Bombyx mori: one gene and its partner. The protein of the gene in region 1 purifies or fractionates together with the protein of each later gene. This does not show direct contact. Links are inferred from orthologs where the notes say so. Each region holds a gene or a part of one and is shown in the gene's direction. Other genes may lie near its edges. The genes, in order: WW domain-binding protein 2 and YAP65-like protein.

Evidence for each region.
Region 2: the proteins of WW domain-binding protein 2 (region 1) and YAP65-like protein purify together in Homo sapiens (affinity purification with mass spectrometry; 7 studies listed by BioGRID and IntAct, with this or other methods). This does not show direct contact. The link is inferred for Bombyx mori from reciprocal best matches to the Homo sapiens genes WBP2 and YAP1.

The regions. Positions count from the first base shown.
Region 1 is NC_085117.1:14,735,348-14,739,945, reverse strand, and holds the start of WW domain-binding protein 2, read left to right. Parts: upstream 1-1,746; 5' UTR 1,747-1,926; coding exon 1,927-1,982; intron 1,983-3,171; coding exon 3,172-3,346; intron 3,347-3,782; coding exon 3,783-3,942; intron 3,943-4,536; coding exon 4,537-4,598. UniProt on the Homo sapiens protein: Acts as a transcriptional coactivator of estrogen and progesterone receptors (ESR1 and PGR) upon hormone activation. In presence of estrogen, binds to ESR1-responsive promoters. Synergizes with YAP1 to enhance PGR activity.
Region 2 is NC_085111.1:12,030,737-12,035,364, reverse strand, and holds the start of YAP65-like protein, read left to right. Parts: upstream 1-1,801; coding exon 1,802-2,274; intron 2,275-4,628. UniProt on the Homo sapiens protein: Transcriptional regulator with dual roles as a coactivator and corepressor. Critical downstream regulatory target in the Hippo signaling pathway, crucial for organ size control and tumor suppression by restricting proliferation and promoting apoptosis.

The DNA.
Region 1 (4,598 bases):
AATACATAACATTGTCTACGCTGTCATGCTGCTGTCATAGCAGACATTAACCAATCTCTGTTTTCGTTTTGAATTCAAACCAATGTCTATTTCCAACCTCGTTTGTGATTGGTTTTTGTTTCTTAAGCCGTTTTGGTTTCAAGTGGGGCCATTTTTTTTTTGAAATTTGTTCCGAGTAATAAATATAGTAATAAATATAATAAAATAATTATTTTATTAATTATTAATTATTATTTATTCGTAGGTAATAACGGTGGTTTATTAACTGTTTAGTATCTGTGAAAGTACACAAATATGGGAAAATGAAACAAAGCCGCTGGACGTAACTTCTCGGGATCCTCCAAAAAGTCCACTGAAAAAATCTTAGTAAATGACCATAATTTTACTGAGATTTTAATTCATCCTATATCATCTCAATTCATTTCATTTAATTTCATCCCAATTGATTAGTGTCTCAAATTAATCATCTTCATTTCATTTCAGTCCTTAATATCATTTTTCATAAAAATATGAATAATATAAATAAAAATAAAACATGACTTAAAGGTCTCAGTTACCAGGTCATAAAAATCTCTTAAAAAAAAAGTTTAACAGAGTCTAGACGTGCGCTAATCATGTTCGGAACTGGATTGAACATGACATCGTTCTTTTGAGTGTCGGAACTAGTTCCAGTAAACATGTTCGCGGAACTGTTTAGTTCCACGAACATGTTAAGGCTAGTAGCTGTTTGTAGTTTGTAGCTGTTTAGTTCCGCGGACATATTAAGTCTAGTAGCTGTTTGAAGCTGTTTAGTGCCGCGGACATGTTAAGTCTAGTAGCTGTTTGTAGTGTAGCGAATCACGTATTAAGTTATTATTTATTACACAATATTTTTCAAAAAAGGTATTAAAAATACAATTTTTTAAAAGCACTATATAAAAATAGATTGCCGCTTATGGTAATTATTATTGTAATTATTATTTTGTAAGGTTTTTAGTTTAAGGTTCATTGTTACAGCTGGTTGCATAATTTATTAATGTACTCTAATTACTTTGTCATAATTTCAACTACTCTACTACTTTCATTATTTTTCAATGTATTGTACGATGCACCGGAAACTATAACCTATCAGTTGTTAATTAAAATACCACGTTATTCTGATATACAACTTAAATTGAGCTCGTTGTAGCCTTACAACCTTTTTCCCATAACCGAGATACCGAATAGCGAAAGTGGTGAATGTTTTAAAATTCTCTAATTTTGAATTATGATTTTCTAAAAAATGGTCTACAAACACTTAAGGTTAAGTGCTCGTAGGAATGATGCATGGTCAAGGTCAAAATCCATAGCAAAACATTTTAATTTATTCAACTATCGACTGTAACACGTAGGTCGTAGAGCATAACTTCAATATTAATAAAAATGTAATATGAAAGAGCTCCACACGCAGTTTCATGCACTCGCTCCATCTCACTCCCTCGTATTCGTGCCATATGTCGCCTTATCTCTTTACGTGGACTCGTGTCGGTTCGAGACTCGTTCGGGTGGACTCGCCGCGCCACGCCTCCGCGCCGCGCGGTACCTATGCTCTAATCATGTCCGCATGTCCGTCATGTTCAACGCGTTCGTAGTTCCTGCATAACAGTACACTTGGAATGGAAATGGAACTGTCTGAACATGTTAATTTTGACAACTCGGATTGAATGATATAGTTCCATATGAGGACATAGTTCCAGGAACTATTTAGGTCCGGAACTACGCATGTCTAACAGAGTCCCTCTGAACATAGATTATACACTTAATGTATGCTTAATACAATTTGGTGATTACGATTGATTACGATCGTAAATAACGTAATAAAGACACTCGACACAGGATTCGATTCAAATTAAGTTTTTTGAACCTTAGTGGTTAAATGTTATATATAATCAGCACAATAATTGCATTATGTCTTTAAATACCGCTCACGCCGATCACGGAGTTTTGATACACGCAGGGGAATGGTGAGTCATCTTGTTTTCATATTTTCAGAATGTTCTACGCTTAACTGTACCATTCTTTAATCGAAGAAATACTTTGTAGGTATTAAAGTATAAACAAATGTTTCATAGTTATATTAGACTATGCCGCCACATCATTAATTATTATTATAAAAATAATAATAATGGTATAATGAAAAATATGAAAAAAATTAATAACTACTAGCATATAAGCTGTTTATGCGTGGCTCCAGTTACGGAGGTAACATGTCTTGTCTGTTTAATTCAGAATTCATCATGCCCAGATGAAATACGTATATTTAGATAGTATATTCTTGTTAATAGAGATTCCACCTTTGTAAAAACGTTGATGTGGAACATTATAATATGTCATACTTGCTTAGAAATTATTAGTCAACTAATTATGCACTGTCTCTGTCCCAATATATGAGATCATGATCTGTTAATTTTGTCCCAACCCTTCCATAAAGTTCTTTTGTTTGTGTTCATTAACCAAATTTTTTAATAATCTCAAAAGACTCCAAAATTGCAATATAAGTAAGTAACTGTTAAGTTTTTATAACTATAATATAAGAAAAAATTAAATTGGTCATTACTACCATTTTCACAAGCGAGTGTGCCTTCTAAATGACAAAAAAAACAAACAAACAAAGAAAAGTTTAATTTTCTTGATGTGAGTCGACTATTATCAAAGGCGGCAATGTGACTTTTGGACAATTATTGGTAAATCAGAAAAACGAATTATTGACTTTGTATTCCATTGGCAGTTACAAAACTCTTCTGAACGACATCCTAGATAAATAACAGGTTAAGTATTAACCTTTATTTAATGCAGGTTTTGAACCATATTCTTTGAAGGAGACGATTATATTCAAATCAATCTGTATTGACATATCAATAACATTTTTTTGTCCAAATGCACAGATTGCCACCTTTGATAATAGATGACTCATGTGTCGTTTTTGAAACTATTTTGCAAAAAATACTTTTCAATAAACTTTCTTGTTTGTACAAATAAGGCCGACTGGCCTCTTGGTGAAAAAAGGGTTGATTCAATGGATACTTCAGATTAATATAACACTAGATATTATCTTTAGTGGCATATGAAATATTGACAATTTTATCTAGAAGATGATAAAGAATGATTATCATTATATTGATATTTTTTTATTTATTTACTTTACTATTTCAGCATCATCTTGTTTTCTGACAATGTGTCAGTTGAATTCTATGGGAATGATACACCAGAGTTTAAGGGGATCAAGGAGGGACGGATGTACCTCACTACTCATAGAATGATTTACAATTCAAAGAAGAATACAGATGCCATGAGATCATTCAGTTTTCCTTTTATTGCATTGCAAGATGTAAGTAATTTATTTGTTAGATGAAGAACAACATAGGATATGATGACTAAATAAACTACTGCTGAATGCAGTTTGGTTTTTCAGAAATCTGTCTCTTGTCTGTCTTGGCTAAAAAGTTATTAAATATATTCATTGACATGAACTGAGCCAATAAAAAGAAATCAGTACTATTAATAAATAATTATATAGATAAATAGCTAATATTTGATTGTTATGAACCCATTTTAAATTGCAAATTCACTGCAAATGAGTCCATAGTAATAACATAAAATTTATATTATATAAAAGCTTGTTGCAATATTATGCACCAGGGGGAATAGTGTGAATAAGTGGAATCTGTGTTCCCTACAGCTGGAGACTTAATAGAAGCCTGTCTTCAGCAGTATTTCGGGCAATGTTGATGATTATGACGATGTGAATTGATATTGTTTTATAGGTAACTGTGGAACAACCTATGTTCTCTGCCAACTGTATAAAAGGTAAAGTTCGTGCCCAACCTAATGGCAACTTTATTGGTGAGGTCAAATTCAAGCTTACCTTCAAATCAGGAGGTGCTATTGAGTATGGACAAGCCATGTTAAAAGCTGCTCATCTTGGTGAGTAAAAGTAATGCCTACCTAATCATAATTGAATGCGACAAGTCTATATCAGTTACTGAATTCGATTGAAGACTACTGAAGAGTATGTTTACATCACAACCTTGAAATGATGTTGGGTTGTTGTTATTGAAGCAAGAGCTTACCTTCCATGCTATATCACTAAAAGTTATTGAAAGGCCCCTTACCTCAATTTTTAATATTGTATTATAGCTACAATACCAAAAAATTTTATAGTAGACAGCGGTTTGGCTCTGCCCCTGGCATTGCTGAAATCCATGAGCGACGCTAACCATTCTATCTATCTATCTCTTAGGTTTATGGCGTTTCATTTTAGATTTCGCCAATGTCAAGTGTATATAATACTCTGCTTATTCACTATCAGGTAGGCCGTATGCTCGTCTGCCTACATGGGCAAGAAAAAAATAAACAATAAAGTGTATAAAAGTAATAAGATTTGTTAGAATTCATTAAAAAAGACTTAATTATCTATTGATTCTACATATGAGCAATTTCTTCTATATAAAGCAATCCTTGATATGATATCAAATTATGTTTAGCAATATATAATAAATAAAATATAATTTTTTTTAGCTTCTCGTCATATGGCAGCTGGTGCTTCGCCACCTCCTTATACCCCACCGACTGGACCGTGG
Region 2 (4,628 bases), on another chromosome or scaffold:
ACGTCACATCGCTTCGGAATAGAAACCAGCTTAATTTACACTATGTTGTGTATTGTGCTTAAATTATGGATTGTATTCATCATTTCGGTCCATATAAATAATTATATGGCACCTACCTATATATCGCAGTACCGCGAGTTGACAACCCTTACAAATATCCCAGTTTAACCCTTAACCGTGTCAATTTACCCCGGACGCTGGGTAAACTGGGACGGCCATTATTTTACCCATTATTTCTTTAAAATGAATAATTAAAATAATGTAACGGTTTTTATCACCTAGATACGTTCAAGACTCAACTTATTTCTTTGGTTGAGCAGTGACTATTTAATTGGAACTATTTTAAAATTCAATCTGAAGGTCGATTTTGTCCCTATTTACCCCATTGTACGGTACATGGCTGATGTCAAGACTAACATCATGGGAATATCGTTTTCCCCCGTAGGTACAATTCGCACGTACGTAAACTATCTAAATACAGAAAGTCCAGTTATGACAAGATTTATTTGAGTGTTTACATTGAAGAAATGAACTTTTTCAGTTGTTTAAAAGTATGACTAATCAATACCATAAACGTTGCCTTGTAACTTCCTTGAATCTACTCAACCAAATTCAAGGAAATTAATAATTTTAGTTGAAAAATGCTCCACAAATCTTATTCTTAGGTCACTTCGATCATCAATAGTACTAGTTACTATTGTTGATTGAAGTTAGGTCACCATCAAATTCAAGTCAATCCAAGTCAATATAGTTATTAAAAAATTAGGTATGTAAGAATACTGATTTCGAGTATTCTTACTATTCTTCTTGGAATAAAAAATTACCAAGGCATCTAGGTAAAATAAATAAATAAACGATTTTAGATTTAGGCCTAATTAGCTACCGTGTATACTTTGATTGTATACACGTCCGAGTATATTATGTTTGTATTAAGCAGTAAACGATACTAGCTTTATGGTGTTGCATTTTCTGTATCAAATAGGTATTATTGCTCACAAAAAATATTCTTTTGTGAATGCAATACAGGTCGTGGTATAAATATATGTAGATAGGTTATTTTAAATTTATAACAAAATTTGAAATTGAAATGAAAGTAAAAAAAAAACAAATTAAATTGTTTAATTTACAGGTTTACACGTTTCAGATATACCTAATTAAGTAATTATTATTTAAGTAGCAGTATTTCACACAATGCATCAATTTTTAAAGTTTTCATTTCAAAAATTTGGAGTTGGACTTAATGTATAGGTACAGTAAGTTTGTATATGCATAAAAAACGATAAACTATTTACTAAATAATTTCCAAATACCTATACAAACAATAGCAGTGTGTCTAGTCATAAACCAATCATTGGGAGCCAATACCTGACGAAAAGCTTCATCAGAAGATTTTTTTTTTATAAATTTAAGGAATAGATAAGGTTATGAGGAAGATACTTACTTATAATCAATAGGTACATAAAATTTATGAATAAAGCGCGTTGTATTCAAATTTTAAATCCGAGCGCAGGTAAAGAGATAGTAAGTAGGTAACGGAGTGGAGGGGCGTAGTCCGCGTCGCGTAGTTCTCGAAGACCGGTCCATGCCCGATGCTTCAAACGCTGTGCTGTTTGTGCGGGTGGTGTGGCGGGTGCGCGTGGGCAGGGAGATTCCGCGGTGCGGGCGGGGCGAGAATCAGTTGCGCGGCGAGCGCTATATTGTAAGAACGTTAGGTGGTACCGCGCCAGCTCGTCGCGTGCTAGTGTTGTGTCACAGCGGTGGGCCAGGTCGGTTTCGAGATTTCTTCGTTCCGACGTAAATAATGGCTCTCAACTCGGACGGTGAACAGAAATCGAACCTGGTCCTCCGCGTGGACCAGGATTCAGACTCTGTATTACAATCGTTGTTCGACACAGTGCTCAAGCCGGACTCAAAGCGACCGCTACAGGTGCCTCTTCGTATGCGACAGCTTCCCAAGTCATTCTTTAACCCGCCGTCGACCGGTTCCAAGTCGCCATCAGTGTCTCACTCGCGAGAAAACTCGGCTGATTCGGCATTCGGATCATCGTCTGCAACTGGCACCTCTACAGTTTCCCATTCACGGGCACATTCGTCACCAGCAAGCTTGCAACAAACTTACACCGCAGGCCAACAAAGTCAACAACCACCGTTGCATCATCAACACACGAAACAAAGATCTTATGATGTTGGTACACATATTCCAGACGATCTTGGACCCTTACCAGCAGGCTGGGAGCAAGCTCGTACTCCAGAAGGACAAATATATTATTTGAAGTAAGTACTGCATGAAATCGTAATAACCAATGTAATAAAATCTATTCATCGAAATATGCGGATTCCTAATTATGGTAAATTGTTAAATTAATGTTACTTTAATTATTATGAATGTGATTTTTTTAGCCATCGACAAGTTTCCTGTAAGTGGTAAAATATATTAATAGTTTGTACGGTGTACGAATATTTTGATAATATTAAATGTCTTATAAATTTTATAAGAATACGGGGAATTTAAGATTTATGTATATATGTACCTCGCTATGATCCCAACATATTTTCCGCCAGCTTTCCCACTCCAAAAGTGAGTATAAAATTACAATATATAATAAGATTTGTAATTAAGTTACTTGGTACTTATTTTTGTAGAACAAGTGAGATAGATTTTAACCTATACTTCTACTAGTCTTTGAAAATAAATTTTAAGTTAAAATTTAAAATAATTTAATAACTTTTTAAAAGTAACATTTTACATAACTTAAATACTAATATGTAAAGTAAAGTTTAAACTTATAAATAAGACATAATGGATGATTTAAAAAGATTCATGTGTAGATCTAAACATTGTCGTCATTCATTATCTTATCAGGATAAATGTACCTGCCGTCAGTTGGTACAGATAAGAATTATTGTGATAAGGTGAAAATGGTTCAAAAGAACAAGTGATCGTGCTTTGTACATGAGTGCGTTTATTATGATGTTCATACAATTATGAATCAATTTATTAGTGTACAGAAATAATACAGTAAAAAACAGTATAATAATGAGGACATCGAATATACTTTGGTCATAATACATGCCTGGATACAACATTTACATAAAAATACCAATACATATAGAAAAACAATATTTCCACTTGAATTTGGAACATTTGGTCTAGTGTTATGTTGAAAATTACTTAAGGGTATTGTTATAGTCTCATTTTAGCGTCAACAATAAAATTGAGTGTAATTATAACGAGAACTGTTATTGTGACAGCACTATACAAAGTAGGTTTGGAACTAAACGCATTTTATCCTGTCCACTTGGTTGGTATTGATCGAATTTTCGTGTACTATCGATAGCCCGAATGGTAGGTACAATGAAGCGTCCTTTGTGATAGCAAAAGTCTAATCTTTCATGTAGTCTTCGTGACTATTCGTTATCTGTATTAGAGAATCTGAAGAACTTCTATCCTGTGAATATAGCACTTAGAATCAGGTTTAGCTACCTTATTAACAGGAAATGACGAAAAATAAAAAAATGCAATTATTATCTATTTTTATATTCGGCAAATTTTTAACAAGCAGAATGACCGAGCTTGTATGGTGTAAGATCTCCGATCCAATCAATTATTACATACCTTTACTGAATTTGACAGGGAATTAGCTTAATAGCCAATAGGACAACTATTTAAAATTTCGATTCATATGAAGAGAAAGTCGGTTCTATCTCTAAATATTAGCTAGCTCATGAAACTGACTAGCGTGGCTAAAGTCCTAACTTCTTGTTAGAGCAATAAACTGGCCAGCATCTGATTTATATCATAATTCGTTCGGTTACAATCACTTTTAGAAGATCTCCCTCAATCATAAAAAAAGAAGATATAATATACTCCAAATGCTGCTTCAGTCTAAATATTATTAAACCTCTGAAATTCCACAAAGGGAAATGAAGCATTTCTGATGGAAAAAGTGCGTGTTTGAATCGATAACTGGTTTTCAATATTAAACTAGTGTCTTAAAGCTAACATGGAATACAAGAAATACCTACTGTTAAATTAATTTTTAAAGTCAACAGACTGTTATCCTGTTAACAAATCTCTTATGTAAAAAACAAAACAATTGCCAAAAATGCGTTAATTCTAATGAAAATAAAGAGTTAAAACGTCAAGTATCCACGTCTTGTACATAAAAGAATAGTGAAATACATTATACTATTTTTGACGCGAATGGTGAATGAAGTATATAGTTGAAATTGCTTCATTGAACAGACGTCGGTGTTAATGCACAAAGCCAGACAAGTGAATTTGAAATAATTGTTATCGATAATCGGTAATGGCTGAGCTGTAGTCTGGCGCCTTAGCCATTATATTCTTGTAATGTTTTTGCTGGTCTTGATGAATAACCAAATCGACGTCTTGGTAATTGAATTTTATCAGGGAGAAAATTGTCGTGCACAATCAAATAATTATCAAAAATATATTTTTTCCCTACCTCACTACTGGTAGCCCAATAGGCTATTCCAGCTATTCACGGTCTGGTAGGTGAGCTCATGAGCCCAACCTGAGAAAGCTTGCTAACACTGGCCCTAGCAAAAGCAGCTATTCGCCGAATCTACCATTGGATCAGAACCGCGACCGATTGAGAAGATTT